7 linked regions of the Rattus norvegicus genome follow. Each later gene encodes a partner of the first gene's protein in a complex. Links are inferred from orthologs where the notes say so. Each region holds a gene or a part of one and is shown in the gene's direction. Other genes may lie near its edges. The genes, in order: Taf3, Taf7, Tbp, Taf9, Taf5, Taf11l1 and Taf13.

Region 1 (3,392 bases):
ACCTGGGCTACCTGAGACTCTTTCCCACCCTCAGCCTCTCCCCCCAAGTGAAACATACAAGCAAAGCCATTGCATTATACTCTTCCTGATGGAAAGAACAAATAAACTAATTAGTCTCACTATACAGAAGGCGCTATATAATATAGCCCAAATACCCAGCGTAAGTGCTACAGTGTTTGGGCAGATTTCTGGTGTATACATCATTTTTGGCATTTATTTTCATTGCGGGATTGGAGCGTGCTGTATTGGTTTGCACACCATTTCGTTCCCTGTTTCTGAGCACAGCACGTGGCTCAGAGACCGCGTGCTGTTGGGCATCATGGCCAGTGTCTTCATCTGTTGAGCCACCATGCCTTAAAGATTCATTTTAAAGCACCAGAAGAGAAGGGATTGGTTTACCTCAGTTGGTAGAGTGCTTCCTTAGCATGCAGGAGGAGAAGCCTTAGGTTCCATCCCCATAGCTGCAAAAGCTGACTGTAGGGTGCACACATCCCAGCTTAGGTAGTAAAGGCAGGAAGATCAGGAGTTCAAGGTCATCCTGGGCTACGTAAGGAGTTCAGAGCTAGCCTTGACCGTACCAGGAAGAAGTGACCCCTTTGAAAACATGGCACAAGGGCTGAAGAGATGTCCCCATGGTAAGAGCACTGTCTGCTGCTGCTTCTGGGAGCTCGCAGTGGGCTGCAACTCCACTTACAGGATCAGACACACTCTTCTGTCCTCAGGCAGCACCAGGTACACAAAAAATACACAGCCAAAACACCCGTACATATGACACACAATAAAAACTTGGAAGTTTCTTTCTTAGGAAGCGTACAGCTTGCAGACCCTGCCTCAGGAAAAAGAAGTTACAAACAGTAAGAAACTTGGCTAACGTGAACTTGTTTTGGTGTCTAGGCCCTGTGTGGGAATCATGGCTGCTCCTCCGGAAGAAATGCAGTGGTTCTGCCCCAAGTGTGCCAACAAGATAAAGAAAGACAAGAAGCACAAGAGGAGGAAGCACCGGGCACACTGACGTCTGCGTGGGCGGGACTGCTGCCCCGCACCGGGCGCACTGACCGGGCGCACTGACGTCTGCGTGGGCGCACTGACCGGGCGCACTGACGTCTGCGTGGGCGGGACTGCTGCCCCGCAGCGGGCCGGGGCTGGCCCAGTTCTGCCATCCGTCTCCCCCAGGCCCTGTGGACAGCGCATCCCCAGGAGCAAGGACAAGAACATGCCATTGCTCTGGACGCTCCCTTCTGAAACACACGGGCCTGAGCTCCCACAGCATGTTGCTGAAGAGAAACTCCAGTAGAGGCCTGGCCTGAGGGCTGGCACCTCCATCTGCCTATTACCAGTGACAAGTATTAATAAAGACACCACACATCTTCCCTCTTGACTTCCTTCTTCTCTCAGAACCTTTATTCCGGTGTTAGGTAAGACGTCTGTACAAACGCCCAGACTGACTGGAGGATGCGTCAGTCGCTCTACAGTTTGCAAGCCGCTCCCTCCCTCCACAGCGAGGTGACCCGCAGGAGAGAGCGCTCCAGTCAGAGGACTGGTAAATATTTTTGTGATGAGAGTATATGAAGCCCCCCACCTCACCCAACTTTTATTACTAGCGTGTAAAATGTTCAGGCTTTTGTGAGATACCTTATATTTTTTAAGAAAAGGGTTTCTATCATGTCCTGTCCACCTCTGCAAATTCTTTTCATTTAGCGTATTTTATAACTTGGATTCTTATTCTACTGTGTGAGCTGCTGGAGTCCCTCTCGCTGCGTGTGCATCCCATCAACTTGTATAAAACTCTTGATACTGAGAAAAATCCCCCACTGTAAATAATAAATATTTATGAAGTAGTTATTTTTAAAATTTTTTTATCGTGTTTAATTCTGGCTTTCTCTGGAATCCACTGTGATTTCAGCCATGTCTGTAATTGCTGCTGTACATAGGCAAAGAGAGAGAAGGGCCCAGACCATGTCCCTCCCTAGACACCCTGCCCACATGGCGGGCAGAGGACCCTAGCAATTGGAAGGAAACAAGGCAATTGACACCTCGAGTCAATGGCTTGAAATCGTTTTGTTTGTTACATATTTCCTGTAAATTTCTCTCACTTTTACTAAAAGGACATGTAGTTTCCACAAAAGTAAAAAAAGAAAAAATACTGTAGCATTTTGTGTTTATATTGTTTTATTTCTACAGATTTGTTCATGGATATTGTGCTTTAAGGTTGAAATGAAGTATATTATGGATTTTTTTAAGAAAACTCATCAAATTTCAGGGTATCACAAAACTTTATTATATTGCTATACTGCCCACTATTTATTATATGTTATAGATATCTGAAACATAAACCAAATGTTTTATTTTTAATGTAAAAAAAAGCATCAAATTTAACTTTATTAGCATATTTTAGTGGCTTTGAAATAACTATGGACCTTTACTTGATTTTGAAATAATCCCAATCTGGGCATGTGTGAAGGCGATCTTGAATGTTAGAACTCGGAATTTGAACCTAATACAAATATATGAGTAGAAATGTGATTTTTTTTTTACTGCCAACTCAATTGACATTAGTATTATAGTCACTCCTATTTTAAAACATATAATGTGGTTTCAGAAATGTGGTTCTCTGCCTTGATGTTAAATTGCAGAACAGTGGTAACGGAGTCAACCTGCGAAGAGTGTGGAAGTCACTCCCCTCCTTGTTCTAGAAGCCAGAAGTTTTCGTCACCCCTGCCCCCCAAAAAGTATCTATGTCGAGATATGTGTCTCTTTTCTTTTTCATTCACTAGAGATCATTCTAAATACTTTATACAATATTTTCACATGCACAAAGAATACCCATTAGTGCTTTTTGGAGAAGACGAAGGATGGGGGAAGTACAAAATAAAGATTATTGGCTGTTTCGTAGCTTGCTTTTCCGTCTTCTTTATTTAGGAATCGGTTCCCTGAGGCATGGTCAGTGGATTTGAAGTCGCCACGTCTAAGTGAGCAGGTCGCACCCCTGAAGTAAGAAAGGAGATAGAACTTTTTCCCGTTCCTCCAGTCTGAGAGTCTCCAGCTCACATAACATTTAAGAAATTTCAATCAATTTGTTGTCCCTTGCTATTTCATGGTTGCTTTCCTAAATCCAGTCCATGATTTTATAAATGGTCTTTGCAGTAATAAAAACCAAAGAATCATTTTCAGGGGGCTGGATGGCTCAAGGGATTAGTAATGAAATACAGAGCCTTTCACCTCTAGGTCAGTGAGTCGAATCCAGTCCAGGTCACTAAAGACCCAAAGTTGTCACCATCTTATGACTCTTCAGTGGCCCGTGCAAAGCATACTGGTGGCTGCAGTCTCCACTAGACGGGCTGTCTGACAGCAACCTAAGGAAGTTTAAGAAACTTAAAAAGTGTGGATTAGAA
Region 2 (3,943 bases), on another chromosome or scaffold:
GGTGCTGCACACCTTTAATTTGCGCTATACTTTCTGCAGGAGGCCTATATAAGGACATTGGAAGAAGGAAGACTCACACTTCTTCAATTGCTTGCACTTACTTCTTACTTGCCAGCACATCTGTTGGTACCCACTTCTTCAAGATTCCAGTTTATACAGAAGACTGGGTGAAAGAACTAACCTCGTGGGACTGAGAAACTAGATTCTTGAACTTTCCATTCACAGCTGCCCATTGTTGGGTTAGTTGGGCTACAGACTGTAAATCATTACATTAAAATCCCTTAATGTATACAGACATTCCAGAATTTCTGTGACTCTAGAGAACCCTAACAGTACAGACAGTACCAATGGGCAAAACAAAAACAGACCTAATTATCAAATTTCATAGTTTTGAGAAAGTCTCTAATGTACTAACCTTGTTTTTTGGCTTCTGTAGTTCTGTCTCTGGAAAGTGGTTTTTGTAACAGAAACATGCCAATGTAGAACATTTGTTTGTGCTTAAAAGCTCACCCTGAGAAAGCCTTAGGGCCACACTGGGATCCAGAACACCCAATGTAGTCGCTGGCTAGCTAATACTTTATATTGGCTTAAAACTATGTCCAAGCAGCCTTCTTTGGTGGATACCCAACAACAAAATCAGAACGTTTGTGTTTCAGGCAAGGCAATTCTGTTCTTAATGAACCTGTGTCATCATAAAAACATTTGTATACAGTTATATCTATCAAACATATTACCAAAATAGCGTATCATACATATCACACCTCGTCCTCTGGAGCCAAAAATACTAACGAAGCTAAAGGCTTAGTTCCTCTCAAAGCTAATTAACATGATTATACACAGCGTTATGTGGTAGACAGCAAAACTGTATCATTCCACTGTTTTGGCCACTTTACTTTCACTTTGTGATGCTTCCAAAGCTTTTGGCGGAGGGACCGGGTATGCCCTGGGAAGAAAAGATGCTTTCTGCAGGGACGCCCTTTATCTCTGGCAATCACTCTAGAAACTGTCTTAACCCACGACTTCATAAAAGTGCTGTCTTAGGGGGTGTGCTTATGTTTTACTTTTTGGAATCTTCATCTTTGAATTCCAAGCCAAGGTTTTTCCGGAAACACTAGTTTTAATCCTATACAAGGTAAGTTCTCACGAGAAGTAGTCACGAGACGACGTAATTACGAGAATGCGCCTGCGCGCGCCGCGACGTTACTACTTCCGGAAGAGCGGCAGCCAGCCCCTCCGCGTCTACTTCCGGTCTTTGACGTAGCGCCGCGTCTGCTTCCGCTCACTGCCGTAGCACTTTCTTTCCTTCTTTTCTGCGTGGGAGGAGGCTTGGCAAGGTCCTCTCCGGAGTTCGGATGTTTGAGCGGCAGTGTGGCGAGGTTTCGCGCTGCGGGTCCTGAGCCGTTTCGTTGTTAGCGCTCAGGTCGCCTTGCCGGGCGGCTGAAAGCGCGGACAAACTGGAAGGTAGACGCACCGCTCATCGCTGCTTTACTCAGGCCGAGAAAAGCTGAGTTCATAGTTGCTGGTGAACTGTAAGTACCCGAGCCGAAGAGCTCACGACTTTTATTTAAATCTCTTACTGGAGAGAATCCGTGGATTGGGATTGCCTGCCAGACGGACGGACTGTGCCTAAAATCCCCTCAGGCGCTGCTGTTTTCTTTGGCTGTTCACGTGATGCTGCAGCGGCGTCTAGAGGCCCTAATTTGGTATTGCATCTAGTAGAGGTGTGAGTTTAACAGGGACAATGCCAAAGTGGGATGCATGTTTAGAGATTAGTATTGGGACTTAATTATAAATTAAGACAAAATAGGCAGTAGGTGATGATCCACTTAGTTGCTGTTTTCCTTAGAACTCAGTAACTAAGAGTTTAAGATTATTCTTAACCTTGTCCTTTTTTTAACTGTTGTAGGAGCTGGAACTTGTTAGTGCAGCAGGTGTTTATTGGAGAAGTAATTCACAAGGAAGTGAAGATGAGTAAGAGCAAAGATGATGCACCTCATGAGCTAGAGAGCCAGTTTATCTTACGGTTGCCCCCAGAATATGCCGCTACTGTGAGGAGGGCAGTGCAGTCTGGGCACGTCAACCTGAAAGATAGACTGAGCATTGAGTTACACCCTGATGGGCGTCATGGGATTGTCAGAGTGGATAGAGTGCCCCTGGCTGCAAAATTGGTAGATTTGCCGTGTGTTACGGAGAGCTTGAAAACCATTGATAAAAAAACCTTTTACAAGACAGCTGATATCTCTCAGATGCTTGTAGCCACAGTAGATGGTGATCTATACCCTCCTGTGGAGGAGCCAGCTGCTACTGCTGATCCCAAAGCAAACAAGAAAAAAGATAAGGACAAAGAGAAAAAATTTGTTTGGAACCATGGAATTACTCTACCTCTAAAAAATGTCAGAAAGAGAAGGTTCCGGAAGACAGCAAAGAAGAAGTACATTGAATCTCCAGATGTGGAAAAAGAAGTAAAGCGGCTGCTGAGTACAGATGCAGAAGCTGTCAGTACTCGTTGGGAGATAATTGCTGAAGATGAAACAAAGGAGGCAGAAAATCAAGGCCTTGATATCTCCTCTCCTGGAATGTCTGGCCACAGGCAGGGCCATGACTCACTAGAGCATGATGAGCTTCGAGAGATATTCAATGACCTCAGCAGCAGCAGCGAAGATGAAGAAGATGTAAACATCATTGACACTGAAGAGGATCTGGAGAGACAGCTACAGGACAAGCTAAATGAGTCAGATGAACAACACCAAGAAAATGAAGGAACCAATCAGTTGGTTATGGGGATTCAGAAGCAGATTGATAATATGAAAGGCAAGCTTCAAGAAACCCAAGACAGAGCAAAGCGCCAGGAGGATCTCATCATGAAGGTAGAAAACCTGGCTCTGAAGAACAGGTTTCAAGCTGTTCTGGATGAGCTCAAACAGAAGGAAGACCGGGAAAAGGAGCAGCTTAGCTCTTTGCAAGAAGAGCTGGAATCACTTCTGGAGAAGTGAAAAGGTTGACTTTAGTCCTTAGACTAGTCAGCTTAAGAAGAATTTATTTTCAGAGTGAGGTCTTGAAAAATTCTTCTTTTTTCTTTGAAATATTCTTATTTCCTGTAATGCTAGGAGTTATTGTGTTGATTGTTTTCACTCTTAAGAAAATAGGATTACATAGGCAGATTTGTTGTAGTGTAAGGTTAGTGAAGTGACAACACTGAGCTTTTAATCACTTCACCATAGGACTTTATTACAATTTGTTTCCTAAGTTTCTAGTCCTATTCTTCGGTGCTAAGATCAGTAAGAAGCTAGCTAGCCTACAGGCAATGGAGTGTTTTTTTTTTTTTTTTTTGTTTTTTTTTTAAGAAATATATTTTTTTACCTTCTCAGCAAGTTTCCATGTTACAGAAATGCAAGTTTTTTCATAAAAGTTGTTTTTTGCACAATAAAAGTTACTAATTTTCACTTTGCTTATCTTGTTCTTCAATGAATACTGAAAGTTGAGGTGAGCTCATGGAGTTTAATGGCTGAGTGGTATAGATCAAGATACATGCTGTTGTTTTGCCTTTTTAGAAAAGGAATACACCAGATAAGGAAATGGAGAAATTCATCTTTGCATTATAGATTATGGTTCAGGCCTACCTACACCATCTGGAGGTTTGTGAACACTCGGTCCAGAGCCTTCTTAAACTATCCTACTTTTCATTGAAGGATATCTGTCTATATCTTTTTATTAAACACTAAAGTTATCTATAAAATACTGGAAGCAGTTAAACAGTTATCAGATGAACTATTCCACTTGCTTAGATTAAGATTATATTCTTAACTGTTGCCATTTTAATTGCTATGCTTTTTTAATAGGCATGTTTGTTCATGTTATTTCATTAGTATTTGCCACTATGAAAGCCTGTTACCAGGTCTGGTATTTTAAAATTTCATACATAGAATTTTTCTCTGAGGCATTT
Region 3 (3,926 bases), on another chromosome or scaffold:
GTCTATGCATATGGCAACCTATTCAACAGCTATACACAACACACAGATTCTCTTCTCTCTCTCTCTCTCTCTCTCTCTCTCTCTCTCTCTCTCTCTCTTTCTCTTTCTCTCTATCACACACACACACACACACACACACACACACACACACCGGGGGGGGGGGGAGTAAGCACAACAACACATGTATATGCCTAGGTGAACCATGGAAGGAAAAAATTAAGGTATGTTGGAATCAAATCAAGCATTAAGAACCAGTCTAAGAAACAGCTGACGTTTTCTTGTGACAGCAAGGACGAGAGCTGGTAGTAGCAGAGTTAAAATAGAAATGAGTCTGTGACTACAAAGCCGCTTGTTTTGCTGTTCCTCTTTGGACGCAAGTTGACATTTACTGAGAACATAATAAGAAGCGTCTGCTTGCCATTCACGTTATCCATCTCACAAATCTCTAAGAGGCAACTACTACTATCATTCAACTCTACAGAGCAAAGTGGAGGACCCAGTGAGCTTGCCAAGCGATCTCTTGAGTTCAAGACCAGCCTGTTCTACAAGAGTGAGTCCCAAGACAGCCAGAGCGACAAGGAGAAACTCTCAAAAAAACAAAAACAACACGTGGAAGATCGAGGATGTATACAGTTCAGTGGTAGAACGCTTGCTTGAGCCTGATCCCCATAGCCACATCCCCAATACTGTTCCCGCTACACACTCTACATCTCTCTTTGACAGCTAGAAAGGGCGGTCAGAGGCCTGGTCCCGAAAATGCTGGGACACCAACCCAACCCCTTTCTTTCACGAGTGTCTCACAGTTTAAGCACAACAAGCCGGGCTCCAGTCGAGAGCGCAACTGGCGGAAGTGACGGCATCAGATGTGCGTCAGGCGTTCGGTGGGGTCGAGTCCGGTAGCGGTGGCGGGTATCTGCTGGCGGTTTGGCTAGGTTTCTGCGGTCGCGTCATTTTCTCCGCAGTGCCCAGGTAACGGTTCTTTCATCCTTTTCTCTGCTTGGAGGCCTTAACAAAAGCGACTTCTGCAGCGGGTCCCTGGAGTTTGCCGGAGGAGACGCGGAATGGGCGCGCGGCCGGGCGGGGAACGGTCCTCCGCGCGGGCTGCGGCGGCTCCGGGAGTACCAGTCTCTGGACCACCGCCTCGGCGGGGTCATGAAATCCAGTGCCAAGTGTGAGCCTCTCCAAGGGGCTGGCACCGGACAGCTCGGCGCACCGTACATCTCAGCTGCTTCCCCCGGTGGAAGACAGTTTTACCCAGGCCTGCGGCTGCTCGTTTTGTCCCCAGTAAGAATAATTCTATTAGGAAGCGGTTCTTGAGACGGAGCATCTCGTCAGAAGCTCGAGATTCAAGCTCAGTCGAGCTTAACATAAAAACGCACGCTTCTTTATTTACACGCTGTCAGTCTTTAGGTTCGAGTTAACGTGGTTTTCCAAAACTCCGGGTAGGCTTTTCTGGGAAAAGATGCCGGACTGGGTGAAGCAGACGCTTGAAGACTGCAGAATTGGTTTCCCAAATATTCAGTTTGATGGCTCAGTTTCCAAAAGTTGAAAACAACCTAAAAATAAGTTTGTGCAGCGATTATTGCGGTTTTAAGATGCAGATGAGAAAAGGTAGTTTAATATCGTCTGCAGGTGTGAGATGACCTCAGCGAAGGATACTACACATTCCCCAGTCTTATATAAGCGAGCGTTCAGTAAACTTTGTTTGCAGAAAGTGATCTGGATAAATCTCTGGTTATACTTTGGACATTAAATCCAGCCTTTTTTTTTTTCCCCAACCAAAACAGTGATCTCTGAAATTGAATTTTCAGTCTTCAGTTTTCTCAGATTTATCCGCTCTTGGACCAAGAAGATATTCAAACTGCACCTTAACATCCTTTAACTGTTCCCATTGTCTGTGTAGTGACATCTTATACCCTGAATTATGCAACCCTATCTACAGCTAGCTGCTTTGTCATCTTTTGTAGTGACTTTACATTCTAAGCCTGTCACATACTACATGCAAGGCTTTGTCCCCCTTTCATGTCTGTGACTTGTACTGCGATAGTGCTGATTTGTGTGGTTTTGTTCCTCTTGCTAGACCTGTGTTAGATTGTCCCTGCTTTGTGAGAGCTCAGACCTCTGGAAAGGGTACTTCAATTCCGTCTTAACTTTTAAAAGATTTACATATATGACTGTTTTGCTTATATGTCTTTATGTGTATCACGTGCATGCCCGGGCCCATAGAAGACAAAAGAGAGCTTTGGATTCCCTGGGACTGGATTTATAGCTAGTTGTAAGTAGCTATGTGGGTACTAGGAATCAAAACTAGTCCTTCTGAAGAGCAGCAGTGCTCTTGACTGCAGAACATTCTGCCACCTCTTGACTCTAATCTGTACTCTTCCATAACATTCATTCACGGTCACAAATGCCGAGACCAGTCATAGGTAGGTGCAGGTGTCTTGAAGACACTAATGTTGGTTTCAGCTTTCCAATAGCTTGCCTTACTTCGTAAACGCCTGCAGTTTTAGTGTTTGCTAAGTATTTATAGTTGTCTCCGTATTGTTTTATACCGAACTGTTTGATAAGGACCGTATCCTCTTTATCTTTGTATCTGGAATGTTGATTCGTTCACTTCTTATGGCATCTCTGAGCAAGCCATTGGTCTATATGAACTGAGCTGATTTTTAAAAATAAAGTATCTTTAAGGAATTGAGGATGGGCGTTTGCCTGCCATTTAGGAGGCTCTGGATTCTATCACTACTGCCTTTACAAAGGAAAAGAGAGCACATTTCATAGTCTCCTAATCCATATTCATATTTCACATCCATGACCACTAAAGAGCTGATGATTTAAGAAACTCAGTTCCAGGCGTGGTTTGAATTAATGTGATCTAATGAGCTAATGTTTCATCTGTTGTTTAGTCTGCCTTTAATTAAAATTAGAACACACAAAAAATGATTACCTAAAGCATATTGTGTCCAGTTCAATATGATACTTTAAGCTTGAGGTATTGGGAATGGTATAAAACCAGAATTGACTTAATAGAGCTGTACAAACAGTGCCTAGTAAGTGTTCTTTTCTTACAGTACAGTTTGCTTACGAATTAGTTTTCCCTCGGCCTTTAGTTTGCCGAGGCCTTTGCTGGGGGTGGGGCATGAGGGTGAAGGTGGTACAAAGGGCTGGTCCCTGATGCTGGTTCTTAAAAGAGATGGCTCAGAGGTTACAAGCACTGCCTACTCCTCCAGAGAACCAGGTTGGAGCCATCTCTCACACCCTACAATTTGATCTTAATCTAAACATTTATTGTCTAAGTTCACAAAGAACACACAGGTTTCAAAGTTACAAATTGTATATCCAAAGACCCATGTTTATTTTAATATGATGCCATGGTGGCTCAGTTCCAGGGCATCTGACTCTCTCTTCTGGCCTCTGCAGACACCAAGGCATGAAAGTGATATACAGGCATACACGTAGGCAAAATACCCACACATATAAAATCAATTACCTTTATGTGAGGAATCAGCTTGTGAGAGCCTGTTCTCTCCTTTCACCATTTGGTTAAACTCAGATTATTAGGATCTGAGGATCTAGGCAGCACATGCCTTTACCTACTGAACCACTTCTTACCAACCCGTTCTCCAATAATTTTTACTATTGATCTCGATACCTTAATTTTCAGTACTATTAGAATATTTAGAATATTTAAGCACACAGCCACATAAGTTTTTGGTTTTGTTGGTGGTTTTACATGAGTCACAGGAAACATAGACTAGGCTTTGGGAGTAAAGGATACATATATTCGTGTGTGTGTGTGTGTGTGTGTGTGTGTGTGTGTGTATTTACACATTTACACACACACTCCAAAACAGTTCTATGTGTTTATTTTGTGTGAGCATGAAACCTGTGTCCATTAAACTTAAAACATATTTTTCCAAGCAGCATCA
Region 4 (4,259 bases), on another chromosome or scaffold:
TATGTCATACCTTTGTAGAAGACACCTTTGGTCTAAGGAAAGTTTCTGACATTATAAACTTTAACAGTTCCCATCAGTAGCATACAATTTAGAGTATATTGAAGTATAATTCACCTTGGTGGAAAAAAGAAAAACATCACAAATTAGGAAAAACAATAAATACAGGATTAATACTGATCAATATCAAAATACAAAATCAACCATGTAATGTGGACTCAAAAAAGATGTTAAAACCTTTAAGTAAATTTTAAATGATTACAATTGTATCAGATAGTCTATTTGTGGTGGGATGGTATAAGTAAAAAGGTTTTCATATAAACTCCAAAGAATGAAACAGAAAAGCCACATATTTGTGCACTTACCTTCTGTTATAAAGAAAAACTAATCCCATATAAGCATTTTTATGCCTAAATTCTTATTTCATATCACGCTGCAAAGTACAGTGTATTTACAACTTAAGAGAAAGGAAAAAACACAATGAAGTAAGACTCATCAGTCACTTCGGATAAACCGGAAGTGCACTGGTCTATTTTAGAGTTGTAGGTACACACAAGCCCACCCGCTAAAATCTTTCCCACCTAATATAACAAATGCTCTTCCCCTTATAATTTAGGATTAGGGCCTGACGTTTTAAAAGGATACAAAAACGTCTGCTTAAGAAATTATACTTGTCGAAATAAAAGATACTCAACGGTCGGGGCTCTTTGAAAACAAGACTGACAATCATCACCTTGGATAAAAAACCAACTGTCTCTGATGATAAATACCAGGCTCGTGAATTACGCTGGAGATAAACGAGAACTTCAAGACTACCCCTAGCCGATCCACCTCCACCTCATACACTGCGCAGGGGACAGGGACACATCAGTCCTAGGTGTTTGTGCAATCAACAGAGAACGGAGCTGACACATCGCACCATGGCTTCAGGCCAGGGCTCCTCACCTACATCCTACACTAGTCCATATTGGAGGGCGGGTCCGGAGGACAGCCCAGGTAGGCGTAAAGACGAAGCGGGTCTCACGCCTCTAGGACATTAATAAGAAAAGCGGAAGCGTCGTCGTCCTTACTTTCTGGGAGCTGCGTCCCCTCGCGGGCGGAAAGATGTGAAGGAGGCCAGGCTGTAGTGTGGAAGGGTAACCGCCCAGCCCTCCCAGCTCAGCCGCAGGCTTCTAGGGCGGCCCGCCTCCTGGGGACCTTCCTTACTGCGGGCGCTTACGCGACGCACCAGAGGGGAGGGGCCGGCAGGCGAGCGAGTGACGTAGGCGTCCAGCGTACTGCCTGACCCGAAACGCAGGCCAGGCTTGGCGCCGTGCTTTCCCCCCATTCGGTGGAAGTGTACCTCCCGAGGCCGGGGAGTCATTGGTGCGAGCCAAGGGGGTCCTAAGTGAGTGTGAGCACCGCGAAGGGCCTCGAGGGAACCTAGCCGCGGGCGCACGCGCCCGCCCGCCCTTTCCGGCTCCTCCCTGGAGAGCGCGTGAGCCGAAGCGCTGGCTGCGTGTGAAGGAGTACTATGAAGCTTCCGAACATCCTGCTCACCGGTTAGGGCGCGCGGCGGGACTGGGCCAGGCCGGGCCGGGGTTTGTCGAGTGCTGTGAGGTCCCGGGGGGCGCTGGGTGTTCGGCCTCGGGGCTCCTCAGGCCGCGCGGCGTGCGGTGTCGTGGTCGCGTCAGGACCCGGCGCTCGCGACCGTTGGGGGAGGGGGTAGGGGGAGCGGGGGAGGCGGAGGTTCGGTTAGCCAGACGCGCCGCGGCGACGAGAAGGAGAGCGGCTGCCGGCTCCTGCTCCGTTGCCCCGCCGCCCCGGGAGACACTTAGCCTTTGTCAATCTGGTATCTTTGCCTGGAGGACCGGCTGCTGATTCTTTGTCGCGGTCGGGCTAGGGGTTTTTTTAAATCGGGGTGCTGTGAGGCAGTTTTTAGCCGTTAGGTGATGTGGTAATGGTGGGTGCCCCAGCCCTTGGGCCTTCCTGATCGCCACCCATTTTCTTTTCTTTTTTAATGCCCCGTTTGCTTCCCAAGAGGTTTCGGTAGATGATTTTGGGATGCTTGTGGAGAGAAGTGACTAGTTAACTGTTTCTTAGTTCCGTTCGCGCCACAGGCTTTGTTGTTGTTTTAGTGTTGGGGTTTCTGAGCGTTTGTGGACGTTTGTGGTGATCTGGAGCTGATCGTGGGGGCCGGGGGAAGGTTTCGGAGCTTTAATTAGAAATATTAAGTTGTAGCATCTAGTAGCATCAAAGGCCAGTCGTACAAAAATGGGATGGATGTAGATGTCAGGTAATGAATCGTAAGGTTGTTGTCTGCCTCAGCTCTACGCACTAGCTTTTAAGGTTTCTTAGGAGGAACGTTTTACAATACCTGATTTGCATGGTCAGACAGTGTCTTGGGGGGGTTAAGATTCTGAAACCAGAAGGCTACAGAGGGACCCTGGTGATGGAAATCAGTTGATAGAGAACTTATAACTAGTAGGCAGGAAACCCTGGGTTGGATCCCCAGAACTTACATAGACTAGCTGGGGTGGCATATGTCAAAGGCCAGCCCTATGTATGGGGAAAAAAAAAGAGAGAGAGCCATATCATAAGATTGAATAGGATGAGAATGTAGAGTCGTGATTTTTACTTATAATGTTCAAATTGACTTAAGTAATTTTAAGCTTGAACATTATGCATTTGATTATCTTAAAAGGGTATTAGCTATAAAGGCAGAAAAGCAAAGAACAATGTATAGTGCCATTTATACAACAGGGTACCTATGCTGTGGATATATACAATGTGTATGTGCACACATATTTAAATGCATCCCAAGTATCCTGTAGACATACACAAACTCATAGAAAGTTGAGTAAGAAACTGGTTTACAGTAGTTCCCTCTGGGGAAGTTACTAGTGTAAATAGTAGTAATGATATTTCTCATACCTCTTATATTTTTTCCATTGAATGTTTTTAAGCTTTTGTTAATGCAGCAAATGATAATGTATCCCAAGTGCCTGATTTTTTTTTCTTTTTTTTTTTTCTGGAGCTGGGGACGGAACCCAGGGCCTTGCGCTCTACCACTGAGCTAAATCCCCAACCCCCGAAGTGCCTGATTTTATGCTGGGAATTTTATATGTTGGCAGGCAGGATTGGCATCAAAATTTTTGGAGTCCTATCCCTGGAGATTAGGGTCCTGACACTAATACCCAGTAATTTCTGGAGAATTTTTTGGTTGGTTTGGTTTTGAGACAGGGTCCTGCTATGTGCCCCTGGCTGTCCTGAAACCAGCCTAGTCTGGTCTTGAAGTCACAGAGATTGACCCACCTGCCTCCACCCTTAGTGCTGGGATTAAAGGCGTGCACCACCATACCAGGCTTTCTGGGGAATTTTTATTAGTTCATGGTGTATATTCATATATGATTGCTAATTAAGAAAAATTTTATACCGTCTAAGAACTGTAAGGGCAGGGGTTGGGGATTTAGCTCAGTGGTAGAGCGCTTACCTAGGAAGCGCAAGGCCCTGGGTTCGGTCCCCAGCTCCGGAAAAAAAAAAAAAAAAAAAAAAGAACCAAGAACTGTAAGGGCAGAAGACGGCTGACATGTAGTAAGTAGGATTTGAACAGCATTTTTCTGTGGCTTCTCTTACAGGTACACCAGGGGTTGGAAAAACCACACTAGGCAAAGAACTTGCATCAAGATCAGGCCTGAAGTACGTTAATGTGGGAGATCTAGCTCGGGAAGGTAAGCGTCTCTTTGATGTTGTATTTCTGTTTTTAAGTCAGGTATAGTAGAGTGTTAGGACTGTGAAGTGTTGCTAGAGGGTCCTGGCAATGAGTGATTATGTTCTGCTAGGGGCCTGAGAAAGAAAATCACATGTATAATAGATAGTAGTATGACATAGTTATTTTGGACATTTTCCCTTCCCTACCCCAAAATAACTAGCATTATTGAGAATAGTAAAAATTGTGACGGTTTTGTTGGGAGACTGGATAGATAAGCTCTGAATATGAGGAAGAGGGAAAATGCTGTGGGCTCAGCAGACACAAAGGTTTGGGTGATTTTAAATGTATGAGACATTATATTGATCTCTCCAGGATAGACTACCGTGAACTCAAATAGGATATGACTATCATATTACTTTTTAAAAGTCACTTGGACAGTTGCATGCCCAGACTCACTGCATGTAGTCTAAAGTGTTATTTTTTACTTATTTACCCCTTTTTTCCCCTAATCTTTTATTATTTAACTTATTTGTGTCATCCTTTTTATATCCACATTTCAGAGAAGGAATTT
Region 5 (3,500 bases), on another chromosome or scaffold:
TTTTCTTAAAAGTTGTCATTCATTTTTTAAACAGTTGCAAGTGTAGCTGTGGAAGACCAGCCAGATGTCAGTGCTGTCTTGTCGGCCTACAACCAACAAGGAGACCCTACAATGTATGAAGAATACTACAGTGGACTGAAACACTTCATTGAATGTTCTCTGGACTGCCATCGAGCAGAATTATCCCAACTCTTTTATCCTCTGTTTGTACATATGTACTTGGAGCTAGTTTATAATCAACATGAAAGTGAAGCAAAATCATTCTTTGAGAAGTATGTGAATCTTAACATATTTATCTATATATGTCTGTAAACACACATCTGTAACCACACGAATGTAAACCAGAAGGCGTTTTGTGAAGGACAGGTGCCTGGGCAGTATGAACCCAGCACAGGGGCAGCAGGAGGATTGATCCTCCAGAGGAAACAGACTTGTAGGGCGATCTGAGGAAGGGCGAGGAGTTAGCCAGTTAAAGCGGGAGCATACCTGGAGTGGTCTGTGGGGGAAGGGATCTTGGTAGTTACAGAGGCTAAAGAAGCTCATAGTGGCTGAGGCAGGGAATGGTGCAGGGCTGTGGTATAGCATTCAGTTGGCAGCAACAGGCAGGTTCTTGGACTGTGCTGAGGGTCTCTGTCATAGGAATAGTAGGGATTTGTATTGGATGAGATTAGGTTTGGTTGAGAGTCACTGAAAACTCAATGATTATGAATAAAAACTTTATTCTAAGAACAGTAGGAGGCTGTGTTAGGATTAGAAGATGACTAACCACCCAAACAATAGGCTTGAATAAAATGTTAAGTTGGATTTTCTCATAAAGGTAGAAGGTTTGGGGCTGATAGGTAAATCCTCGATCATCAGGAATTATTGTCCTTGTCATGAAGCTTCCACTCTGTGGTACAAGCTGGGCCTCTGTCAGAAAGTAGTCCCAGCACTGTTATAGTCAGCAAGAAAGGCACACATTCCTGGAAGGTGCTGACACTTTCTTTTTCTAACTTTTTATCAGTGGCTGTCCCTAGCTATAGATGTAGAAAATGTGATCTTCCCTGAGGTGCCTGTCCTCAGCTAACAGCCAGGGGTTTAGTTATGGAGGAAAGAAGTTAAAATGAGCATTTGGGGACGGTAAGGCATCTCTGCTACAGATGTCACTAGAGGGTCATTTCATTAATTGCAGTTTTTGTCATTTTTCCTAAGACAGGATCTTATAGTGTGTAGTCCTGCCTAGCCTGGAACTCACTGTGTAGACCAGGCTGGCCTCAAACCTGCAGAGCTCTGTTGGCTTCTCCCTTCTGAGTGCTAGGATTATACATGGTCTCCCACCAGGACCCAAGTGAGCATTTTAAAAGACAAACAGATGGTGAGGGACAGAAGGACTATTGGATGCCTAGGGTTATTAACTGCTTCTTAATGGTGGTGATAGTCCTCTTTCCCATGACACTTAGAAATATGTTGAGGCATATTTGTTTGTTGGGGAGGAGGGAATGATAGTAACTATTATGGAATGTATAGATAGTTCTACTTAGCAGAGAATTGTCCTGCCTAATATATCAGTAGCATCGCTATTGAGAAACAAGAATCTGCTGATGAAGTGAAAAGTAGACTGACCCACGCATGTTGGGTTGGATATGGAGGTGAGACACCATTGATAACCCAGATTTCTGGTGTGTCCACTGGAGAAGGATGGCTTTCCTGTAGGAATCCCTAGAGGAGGACATTAGTAGGGTTACTAATCTTTAGTTCTAGTTCAAATGTGCTTTTGACTAATTTAAGAACCATTAAGAAGCAATAACCATGTGCAGCATGGTGGTGCATGACTCTAATCCTGGCACTTGGGAGACCGAGGCAGGTGGGTCTCTGAGTTTAAGGTCAGCCTGGTCTACAGCATGAGTTCCACACAGAGAAACCATGTCTTCAAAACCAAACCAAACAAAAAAACCCCAGTACCTCCAAGACTGGTCTGCCAATAGTCCCTCTGTCCTCCTGTACTGTAATCCTGTTCCCTATGTACTAGCTGAGAGGGGAGGAGCTTCTGGAGCCAACATTGGCTTGAGGAGCTCCAACATTTAACAGGTACAGGATACAGAGAAGGGAAAGGTGGAGACATAGGGAAAATTCCAGAAGGCATCCTTACAGATGCCAGGAGGCAGGGCTGACTGCCTGATGAGAGCACTTCAGTGCAAGCCACAGAGCTTGAAGTCAGGACTTGTCGCAGAACGATGATGGTGGTAGGGGAAGAACAGAACTCCTAAAAGCTATTACCCACTCATCATGCTTGGATTCCTAATTGAAGGTACAGAAAGCAAACTGGGGCTCAGCCCTCTCCCTTCTCTTGGGCTGATGATAATATTTTACATTAGAAACCTTTTTTTCTTCTTCTTCTTTTTTTTTTTTTTTTTTTTTTTTTTTTTTTGAGACAGGGTTTCTCTGTGTAATGGTCCTGGCTGTCCTAGAACTCACTCTGTAGACCAGGCCGGTCTTGAACTTGCTCTGCCTCCTGAGTGCTGGGACTAAAGGCATGTGCCACCACTACCCAGCTTAGAAGCTAATTTTCTTTTGTAGTACTGCATCAGTCTTGCTCTTTCAGTCTCCTGGGATAGCCACTTTTCCATGGAGAAAGATGGGCTGTAATAAAAGGCTCTCTGTTCCCATTACAGACAGTCTGCTAGGACCCCATGCCCAAATGAAGGCAAAATAAGCCAAGACTTGTAAAAACAAGAGTATATTTAAACTATAAGGTATAACCAAGACTGAAGGCTTTACTTAATTGCCTTGATAATAGTGAAAATATGGAAGTGCTTATTGTTTAGTACCAATATTTGTTCTTTACTTTATCCTTATTAAAGTATTGATTTTAATGTCCTAAGTAATTAAAATGTATAGGCTTATAAGAATCATGTCCTGTGATAAGTACATTGAAGGCATACTATTTTCTACTCCTGTGTTTGAAATGTTTTTAATAAAAAGTTTTAAAGAGGTTTTGAGAAAGCGCAAAATTCAGTAAAGCAAGGATTCTGACGTTTTTATGTATTCCCAAAGATTTTTTTTTAATTTTTTTTCCAAGACAAGAGTTTCTCTGTGTAGCCCTGGCTGTCCTGGAACTCACTTTGTAGTCCCGCTGGCCTCAAACTCAGAGATCCAGGCTCAGGCTCTGCCTCCTGAGTGTTGTGATTAAAGGCGTATGTCGCCATGGGTCAAAGATACTTTTCAAAAGAAATACATACCGTTAGTGAGTCCGCTCAGATGTCTCATTCACTGCTTCATTAAAGAACTTTCTCCTGAAATGTTTATGACACATTTCATTAGAGAAATTGGTCATTTTAAGGGTGATTTTAGAAACTGAATTATAATCATTTTGAATTACTATTGATCCTACAGCCTAGTCAGGGTTATTTATGTAGTTACATTATATACTTTATAGTATAAATATATAATTATAAACTACATATGATTCTGGGATGGTTTATCAGTGTATGAGGGAGAAGCAGGGGAGAAGCAGATTACCT
Region 6 (4,288 bases), on another chromosome or scaffold:
AAATGCAGATTTTTGAAGGGCCGATCACCCTGTCTTGGCAGAGCTTATCAGTCAACTATTCTGCATAATTTGTCCTTTTCTGGACAATATTAGTCTGCAGATGAAACAGGCAGCTTTGTGTAGTGGCTGCCTAGCCACAAAGTATTGCCTTACCTGAACAAATTCTTCATTAAATCTGCCAAAGGGGAACTGTTAGGAGCAGCTACGTCTCAACAAAAGATAAATAACTTTAAGTCTCAAATTTTGTGGATTTCTGACGTTTTTGAAGACCATCCATCTATATAAGACAATCTGGACTGTTGTTTTCATATCTTAATATTTTTTTTTTGGTTCTTTTTTTTCGGAGCTGGGGACCGAACCCAGGGCCTTGCGCTTCCTAGGTAAGCGCTCTACCACTGAGCTAAATCCCCAGCCCCTTCATATCTTAATATTATCTTGAAAGTGCTCTCACAAAGTCAGAGCCATGAATGTGCTATTTGGCCCTTAACTCACATATGTAATCAACTCAGAAGTTTGTATTGACATAATTAGAAGGACTGGCTCTAAACCTTGTACTTTTAAACTTTTTTGACAAATAAATTCTATACCAAAACAAAGATATGATTTTAGCTTAGTTACCAAATGAGATAATGACTCTACAACTCAATCTAGCTAATTCCTCCCTGTTAAATTACAACCATTTCTAAGTTCCTCATAAAAACAACTTTAGAATAACTGCTTTCAGCCCCCCAAAAGTCCAGGGAATTGGGGCGACGACTCCTCCATAACTTCCTCAAGCTGTACATGGGCGTTGAGCTATCCTTGGGGGTAGGAGGCAGGAAGAATGAAGCAAATGCTGAGCAGATGTGTCCTGACTGGACCCAGCCGAAAGTCCTTGAGACCAGGAATCCAAGGAGGCACACAATACAACAATCAAGACAAAATATAACCATAATATATATAACCATAAAACTCAAGGTCACGGGCTGGAGAGATGGCTCAGTGGTTAAGAGCCCCGACTGCTCTTCCAGAGGTCCTGAGTTCAATTCCCAGCAACCAAATGTAGACACCCCATCTCTGACTTCCTCACCAGCGGTGCCTAGGTATCCAGAGAGGAAACTGGGAACCACACCATTCAACCCAGACCCCTCTGTTCCCATTCTAGTTCTGTGGGTAGCAGTGCCTGACATCATCCAGAAGGGAAACATTCACTGTGGACCCCCTGTTCTGGCTTTTGTTATGCCGCTCAGGGCTGGCATGATGGTGGCTGCTAGACACCTCCAGCAGAGGCAGAATGCAGTATGACATCAGAGCAATGTGAGTTCTTTATTTTTTATTTAAAAAGACAGCCAAGAGCTGGAGAGATGGCTCAGTGGTTAAGAGCACTGACTGTTCTTCCTAGCAACCACATGGTGGCTCACAGCCATCTGTAATAGGATTTGATGCCCTCTTCTGGTGTGTCTGAAGATAGCTACACTGTATTCATATACATAAAATAAACACATTAATTTTAAAAAAAGTCAGCCAAATCTTTATTGGGAAATGGGTCCCTAGGAAGTGAGCCTGGGGCCCTCGTTGCACATCTTGTTCCTTAGCACTGTTCCAAGAATTCCTTTTTTTTTTTCTTTCTTTCTTTTTTTCAGAGCTGGGGACCGAATCCAGGGCCTTGCGCTTGCTAGGCAAGCGCTCTACCACTGAGCTAAATCCCCAACCCCTGTTCCAAGAATTCTTTTTTTTTTTGGGGGGGGGGTTCTTTTTTTTTCGGAGCTGGGGACCGAACCCAGGGCCTTGCACTTCCTAGGCAAGCGCTCTACCACTGAGCTAAATCCCCAACCCCCCAAGAATTCTTCATCGCGTCTCGTGTTGTGGAGAACTAGAAAAGGTGTAAATATTGCAGGCCTTCAAAGGCATCGTCTGCTCTGAAAGCCAGGTCCACTGTGACTGAGGGCCTGTGGCTTTGCTACCTGTTTAGTGAACCATGTGCTCGACTCCTTGGCCTCAATGAAGTTGGTGGTCTTCTTGTGCCGGATCATGAGAAACACTTCCATCCCTGTGACTGACTGCTTCTGACTTGATGCACCAGACCTGAGCAGTGTCAACAACAGGCATTAAATATTTTAATTGTGTGCAGTGCAGACCTGGCGCAGACGCGGTCCACGCCCAGCGAAACCGCCCATTCGACAGCTGGGGAAGAACGAAGTGGGCACACTTGTAGGAGCTTCCCGAAGTGCTCGCCTTCCCAAAGATTTGGGAACCTCATGGGACTGGAAATGATCCTCATTGGTCCAGGCACTGTAGAAACAAAAGAAATGTGGGAACGGGATACTAGCTCTGTTCTGACGGGAGGCAGGTAGCCAATAGTTGAAGCATTGAATGAAATCGTTGGATATATTCTATTGGCACTAGAGATGCTTGCGGTACAGAAGAGAAGCCCAAGCAGTTCCCTGGTGGACCCAAGCCGCGGATCTCAGTTCTTTGGAAAATACGAGGTTGAGTCTCTGCCGGAAATTGCTCAGTCCAAGGCAGCAACAAGCAGCCGGACGGAGTTTTCGCCCCGTTCCGGACTTTGCGCTCAAGTTAACGGATTAATTGGCATTACATTTCCAGGAAGGAAGGAAAAAAAGAAGTCTCTCGGTAAACGAATTGTACGCCCTTTCGAACACGCTTCTACCCTAAAGCGGAGGATCTATACTTTTACATTTCTTTCTGGTTAAAACAAAGTCAGTATACAAGAAGACCCTGAGCGATCGAGACTCTGAAAATGACCCCTCCCAGGAGCCGTGGGCGTGACGTCATCGCGGCGCGACCACAAGCAATAAGGACCAGCTCCAAGCCATAAGCCTCAGCTATAATATAAGTCCCGCGGCAAAACTCGCTGACCCTCACTCCTTCGCCCGGCCGCGCTGCCTTCGCCTCTAACCCCCTCCTGTCGCGATGGAAAACCTTGGAGAGTCGCCCACGGACAAAGGCGGGGAGTCAGAGGAGTCGAGGGCTACTCCTGGGAACCCGTTAGCGGCAGACACTGAGGGAATCCCTGAGGAAACCGATAGGGATGGAGACGTGGACTTGAAAGAAGCCGCGGCAGAGGAAAGGGAGACCAAGAGTCAGGATGTCTCAGGTTTGACAGCAGTTGAGAGGGAAGACTCATTTCTTACTCCTGCAGCCAAAAAGCTGAAACTAGAAACCAAAGACAAGAAGGAGAAGAAGCAGAAGGTGGACGAAGATGAGATTCAGAAGATGCAAATCCTGGTCTCTTCTTTTTCTGAAGAGCAGCTGAACCGTTATGAAATGTATCGCCGGTCAGCTTTCCCGAAGGCAGCCATTAAAAGGCTGATCCAGTCCATCACTGGCACCTCTGTGTCTCAGAATGTTGTGATCGCCATGTCTGGCATTTCTAAAGTTTTTGTCGGGGAGGTGGTAGAAGAAGCCCTGGATGTGTGTGAGAAATGGGGAGAAATGCCACCCCTGCAGCCCAAGCACATGAGGGAGGCCGTGCGGAGGTTGAAGTCCAAGGGGCAAATCCCCAGCTCAAAGCACAAGAAAATCACCTTCTTCTAGATCTAACAGAGACTGTTCAAGACTTTCCGTATAGTTGGGCTTCTGTACTGAGGCTTTGTTGGTGGTGAGCCCAGGACACTTGATGCTGACTTTAATGTTTCTGTTACACCTACAAGGCACGTAGTGTGCCTCAGACTTGCCTTCACTCAGTCATAGACTGTCCTCAGGCATGTTGAAGAATTTCACAGACTCTTGGCTATTTTTAAGAAAAAATACACAGGGACTGTTAGTATCTCCTGGAGAGGGAGATGATTTCAGAGAAAAACAAGACAACTACAGTTTCACATTGAAGCCTAAAGTGGCTAAGATTCAGGTTGTTTCGAAACAAACTTTCTCAATAATCTGCTGTGAAGACAGTCACACCATAATTCGATTCTCACCGTTAACATTTCAGGTTGTCCTGTGTATTTTGTGAGGGATTATTAAACTTTTCCAACCTGTGTGGGAAACTTTGTTTTATTTTGTTGCAGACAAAACTTATTGTCCTTCCAATAAAACTTGGATTTTTTTTCCTTGTTTAAAAATACAAAACAAAACTTTTAATTGCCCTGGGGCTGAGTTTCTCTGACCCTGACCCAGAATGGTTGAATTCAATTTGACATGCCCTGTAGGAGGCCCCTTAGGGGGTTAATCTGAATTCATTAGCCTACTACTGGGCTTTGCCACACCTTATGCCTACTGCAGAAGGCTGAGCTTTCTTTTGGATTACTTCTAGAAAAACAACAACAACGAAAAACATTGTGCCTACGAA
Region 7 (4,133 bases), on another chromosome or scaffold:
CCTTGCCCTCTGAGCCCTGTCCACCCTCAGGAATGGCTGGCTATGAGATACTTTTCTGTCATTTGATATCTTTCCTCCAACCCTAAACTGGACTCTGGAGTCCACTCTGAAATTGTAGAAGAACCCCAGGCTGTTCCCTCTGCTCTGTGTCTGATCTACTCATTACATTGCTTTGTTATTCCCGGTTTCTGTTTTGGAGTTTGAGTTAAGAGGGTTGAATTTATCCACACTTCATAGTTTATAGCCCTGCTAGCATTGTCCATAGTCCTTTGCTTTTTATTTTTTCCTTTATGCCCTATTTCTACCTTTTCTGTGCTGCCAGCTTTCTAATGCATTTAATGTCTCTGCTGTTTTGTTTGTTGCTGACCTTGAACTCAGAGATTTTCCAGCCTCTGCCTCCCCAGGCAGGGATTAAAGACGTGTGCCATCACACTTAGCTCTTTGATAATTTTAAAATGTTTTACTTATTACTGTGTATGGAAGCCAGAGGACAGCCTTGTGGAATCTGTCTTCTTACCTTTCACTTTTTATATAGGCCCAGGGATTAAACCTGAATATTAGTCTTATTCCGTGAGAGCTTTCACTGACTGTACCATCTCTCCCGCACATCTTTTGTAATTAAAAAACCAAACCCAAACCCACCCCCCTCATAAAACCCAATGTACACACACACACACACACACACACACACACACACACACACACACACACACAAAATTACGGAGGCAGGAAAGATTGCTCTGCAGCTAAGAGCATTGGCTGCTTTTCCAAAGACTTGAGTTTGATTCCCAGCCCCTACATAGCGGTTCACAATCATCTAACTCTAGTTTCAGGGAATTAGTTGCTCTCTTCTGGCCTCTTTGGCGCTGCGAACACATGGTACACATGCGTGTCTGCAAAACACTCATATACATAAAGATTATATATATATTTTTAAAAAGTATATCTATGTGGGCTTGTGTACTTGAATGCATCAGCCCCAGAGGCAAAAATTCATCATATTCCCCTGGAGCTGGAATTACAGGCATTTGGGAGTCTCCATTAGTATGCACAAATTTATCATTTATGATTTCTGAGATATGGGCTCATGAAGCTTGAGTGGTCTCGAACTCTAAGCTCTCTTGCCTCGGCCAAGTGCACGGAATTTTTTCGGTATAGTACACCACGCCTGGCATCTTTGTAATTTTTAATCCCTTCTTCAGGATTCCACGCCTAAGTACGCGTCACTGATTTTCAGCCAATCTCAAGGCCGGGGTTAGGAGAATGAGAGTGCACACCCATCTGCGCAACTCCGGCCAGGCCGGAAGTGACGCACATATCTTATAAATCTTGCGAGCCGCCCTTGGGCGGGCTCAGAAGGCTGGCGGGCTGCTAGCATGGCAGATGAGGAGGAAGATCCCACCGTGAGTGAGCGCCCGTCACAGCCTGTTTCCTCACTCCCTCTGGCTCACTAGCGGAGGCAGAGTCTGACCCTCCTGAGCCTTAGGGAATCCCGCCGAGAGTTCGGGGTCTCCGCGGTGTTTTCCTCTTCCTTCGGTTTACCTTAGTCAGTGCGTGGGGCAGGAAGGGAAGGAAAAGTAGACAGGATCTCCTTTTGATCTGGATCTTCCTGACACTGAGAGTCTAGAGAGTCATAGGAGATCAAAGCAAATACTGCGGAACCAGCAGCCCATCTGCTAACAAAACTAGTGAAAATAGTGGAGAAAAGATGAACTAAAGTCAGGAAGTTTGAGATCCAGATTCTCCTTTGGAGTTATTTAACTTAAGGCATCGGTTTTCTTGTCGTGAGATAGGGTCAAGCCCAGTTAAGGAAAGTTTTTAGCCCTGTATTGACAGGTGCTTAGTAAATGTTGCTTCTGATGGCAGCAGAGAGTAGATTTTAAACTATCAGGTCTTTTACAGTAGTAGCATTGCTTAGCAGTATGACAACTAAATGGGCTAAAACCAAACCCAGAACCTGACGTCCATTTGAACTTCACACACACACACACCCCGGGTAGGGTTGTTAGTTAGGAGCCGTAATAAAAGACTTCTTGCACGACTTGAGAAGTGGAATAGGACATAAGAGCCCTCTGATGCTAAGTTTCTATGACTTTGTGCTGTTTGCCTTAGCTTACCACTTTTGAAAATGCAAAAGGGTCACTGGGCATGGTGGTGCACACTTTGAATCCCAGCACTCAGAAAAGGATCTCTGAGTTCCAGGCAGACGGGCACATACCTTGTCTCAAAAAAAAAAAAAAAAAAAAAGTCTAGAGATTTTGCTTTAGTGCATCTGGCTACCTACAGCAGTTAGACCCCTTTTTTGGCCTCTACGGGCATTTGCAGGCATAGTCAATGTAGGCACACACAATACATATAAATAATAAATGTCTTTCAAAAAAAGATGAAAAGGGCACTGGAGTGTAGCTCAGTGGTCAATTAACTGTTTAGAATCGTGAGCTCCTAGGTTCAATTCATAGCACTCAAAAGAGAGAGCAGGAGGAGACTCTGGAGAATATCACGTGCACTGCCATCATTTGACATTTCTGTATTTTTAAATTTCTAGTTTGAGGAGGAAAATGAAGAAATTGGAGGAGGAGCAGAAGGTGGCCAGGGGAAGAGAAAGAGACTTTTCTCTAAAGAACGTAAGTTGTACTTTCCAATGCTTTTATTACAGGTGGTGAGAGCTTTTAAACATGTCCTTGGAGAGTAGGTACATTGCTCTGCATATGTTTGCTTAGAGGGACAGTGTTCTCAGACTTGCCTGTAAGGTTGTTTTTATTCCTGTTTGTTTTTGCTTTTTTTTTAAAAAAAAATTATTTTATGTATATGAGTACCAGAAGAGGGCATCAATTCCATTACAGATGGCTGTGAGCCACCATGTGGTTGCTGGGAATTGAACTCAGGACCTCTGGAAGAGCAGTTAGTGCTCTTAACTGCTGAGCCATCTTTCTAGCTCCCCTTGTTTTTGCTTTCTTTTTTTTTAAAGATAGGCTCTGCATAGGCTTGGCTATATTGGTGCTCACTGTTTAGCCCAAGCTAGCTTTGGGTGGCGGTAGTCCTCCTGCCTTAGCCTCTCAAGTATTGGGATTGCCGGTGTGCCTCCTGTGGTTGGTATAAGTCTCTTTATCATGTATACTAATTCTCTCTTTGTGACGTAAAATAATGAATGTGATTCCCCCCCACCCACACATACACTTTGAGGTGGGTTTTTTTTATTTTATTTCTTTTAGTTTTTTTTTTTTCCTTTTCTTTTTTTTTTTTTCGGAGCTGGGGACCGAACCCAGGGCCTTGCGCTTGGTAGGCAAGCGCTCTACCACTGAGCTAAATCCCCAACCCCTCTTTTAGTTTTTTTTTAAGATTGATTGATTGATTATAATTACACTGTAACTGTCTTCAGACACACCAGAAGAGGGCACCAGATCTCATTACAGATGGTTGTGAGCTGCCATGTGGTTGCTGGAAATTGAACTCAGGATTCCTGGAAGAGCAGTCAGTGCTCTTAACCACTCAGCCATCTCTCCAGCCCTCTTTGAGGTTTTTGAGACAGGGTTTTTCTGTGTAGCTCTGGCTGTCTTAGAGCTCATTCTGCAGATCAGGCTAGTTTTGAACTCACAGAGAGATACATATGCCTCCACCTCTGCCTCTGCCTCCTAAGTGCTGGGATTGACACTGTGAACCACAGCCACCCAGCTGAGGCAGGGTTTTTATATCCCAGTATGGTTTCAACCTTGGTATGTAGATGAGTATGACCTTGAACTTCTCCTGTCTGTATCCCTCGTGCTACACATAGGCCCATATGTCATGATTCCCAGTTTGTTTAGCTAAGGATTGACCCTAGTTGTGTGTGTTAGGCTAGCACTCAGCTACTAACTGAGCTACATTCATTGCACCGCTGCCCCTCCCCCTTTCTGTTTTTTTGTTTGCTTTGTTTTTGTTGTTGTTTTTCCCTTTCTGTGTTTAGCAGGGTCTCATGTACCCTAGATTGGTCTTGTATTTATTACGTAGCTGGGGATGACTATGATGTTATATTCCTCTTGTGTCCACCTTTCAAACGATGTAAGTTGAGGCTTTGGACTAAGGCACTGATCAGGGCAAGAAAGTGAAGTCTGGGGTACTAACAGTGTCGTTAACCTTCCATCATACTCCTTAGG

The links.
Region 2: Taf3 (region 1) and Taf7 share a complex: the UniProt entries of both Homo sapiens proteins name them as parts of the TFIID basal transcription factor complex. The link is inferred for Rattus norvegicus from reciprocal best matches to the Homo sapiens genes TAF3 and TAF7.
Region 3: Taf3 (region 1) and Tbp share a complex: the UniProt entries of both Homo sapiens proteins name them as parts of the TFIID basal transcription factor complex. The link is inferred for Rattus norvegicus from reciprocal best matches to the Homo sapiens genes TAF3 and TBP.
Region 4: Taf3 (region 1) and Taf9 share a complex: the UniProt entries of both Homo sapiens proteins name them as parts of the TFIID basal transcription factor complex. The link is inferred for Rattus norvegicus from reciprocal best matches to the Homo sapiens genes TAF3 and TAF9.
Region 5: Taf3 (region 1) and Taf5 share a complex: the UniProt entries of both Homo sapiens proteins name them as parts of the TFIID basal transcription factor complex. The link is inferred for Rattus norvegicus from reciprocal best matches to the Homo sapiens genes TAF3 and TAF5.
Region 6: Taf3 (region 1) and Taf11l1 share a complex: the UniProt entries of both Homo sapiens proteins name them as parts of the TFIID basal transcription factor complex. The link is inferred for Rattus norvegicus from reciprocal best matches to the Homo sapiens genes TAF3 and TAF11.
Region 7: Taf3 (region 1) and Taf13 share a complex: the UniProt entries of both Homo sapiens proteins name them as parts of the TFIID basal transcription factor complex. The link is inferred for Rattus norvegicus from reciprocal best matches to the Homo sapiens genes TAF3 and TAF13.

What each region holds. Positions count from the first base shown.
Region 1 is NC_086035.1:73,515,162-73,518,553, forward strand, and holds the end of Taf3 (transcription initiation factor TFIID subunit 3), read left to right. Parts: intron 1-894; coding exon 895-1,012; 3' UTR 1,013-1,048; exon of another isoform or gene 1,049-1,132; 3' UTR 1,133-2,892; downstream 2,893-3,392. UniProt on the Homo sapiens protein: The TFIID basal transcription factor complex plays a major role in the initiation of RNA polymerase II (Pol II)-dependent transcription.
Region 2 is NC_086036.1:29,710,676-29,714,618, reverse strand, and holds Taf7 (transcription initiation factor TFIID subunit 7), read left to right. Parts: upstream 1-1,294; 5' UTR 1,295-1,529; intron 1,530-1,906; 5' UTR 1,907-1,967; coding exon 1,968-2,993; 3' UTR 2,994-3,443; downstream 3,444-3,943. UniProt on the Homo sapiens protein: The TFIID basal transcription factor complex plays a major role in the initiation of RNA polymerase II (Pol II)-dependent transcription.
Region 3 is NC_086019.1:65,135,582-65,139,507, forward strand, and holds the start of Tbp (TATA-box-binding protein), read left to right. Parts: upstream 1-1,126; 5' UTR 1,127-1,284; intron 1,285-3,921; 5' UTR 3,922-3,926. UniProt on the Homo sapiens protein: The TFIID basal transcription factor complex plays a major role in the initiation of RNA polymerase II (Pol II)-dependent transcription.
Region 4 is NC_086020.1:33,526,929-33,531,187, forward strand, and holds the start of Taf9 (transcription initiation factor TFIID subunit 9), read left to right. Parts: upstream 1-1,459; 5' UTR 1,460-1,510; coding exon of another isoform or gene 1,511-1,538; exon of another isoform or gene 1,539-1,686; intron 1,687-1,714; exon of another isoform or gene 1,715-2,272; intron 2,273-3,614; coding exon of another isoform or gene 3,615-3,707; intron 3,708-4,259. Other genes in the region: cell cycle checkpoint protein RAD17, read right to left, coding at 11-52; Ak6 (adenylate kinase isoenzyme 6), read left to right, coding at 1,511-1,538, 3,615-3,707. UniProt on the Homo sapiens protein: The TFIID basal transcription factor complex plays a major role in the initiation of RNA polymerase II (Pol II)-dependent transcription.
Region 5 is NC_086019.1:255,902,774-255,906,273, forward strand, and holds part of Taf5 (transcription initiation factor TFIID subunit 5), read left to right. Parts: intron 1-34; coding exon 35-272; intron 273-3,500. UniProt on the Homo sapiens protein: The TFIID basal transcription factor complex plays a major role in the initiation of RNA polymerase II (Pol II)-dependent transcription.
Region 6 is NC_086028.1:74,278,259-74,282,546, reverse strand, and holds Taf11l1 (transcription initiation factor TFIID subunit 11-like), read left to right. Parts: upstream 1-1,488; 5' UTR 1,489-2,913; coding exon 2,914-3,537; 3' UTR 3,538-3,986; downstream 3,987-4,288. UniProt on the Homo sapiens protein: The TFIID basal transcription factor complex plays a major role in the initiation of RNA polymerase II (Pol II)-dependent transcription.
Region 7 is NC_086020.1:198,891,999-198,896,131, forward strand, and holds the start of Taf13 (transcription initiation factor TFIID subunit 13), read left to right. Parts: upstream 1-1,333; 5' UTR 1,334-1,376; coding exon 1,377-1,403; intron 1,404-2,545; coding exon 2,546-2,624; intron 2,625-4,133. UniProt on the Homo sapiens protein: The TFIID basal transcription factor complex plays a major role in the initiation of RNA polymerase II (Pol II)-dependent transcription.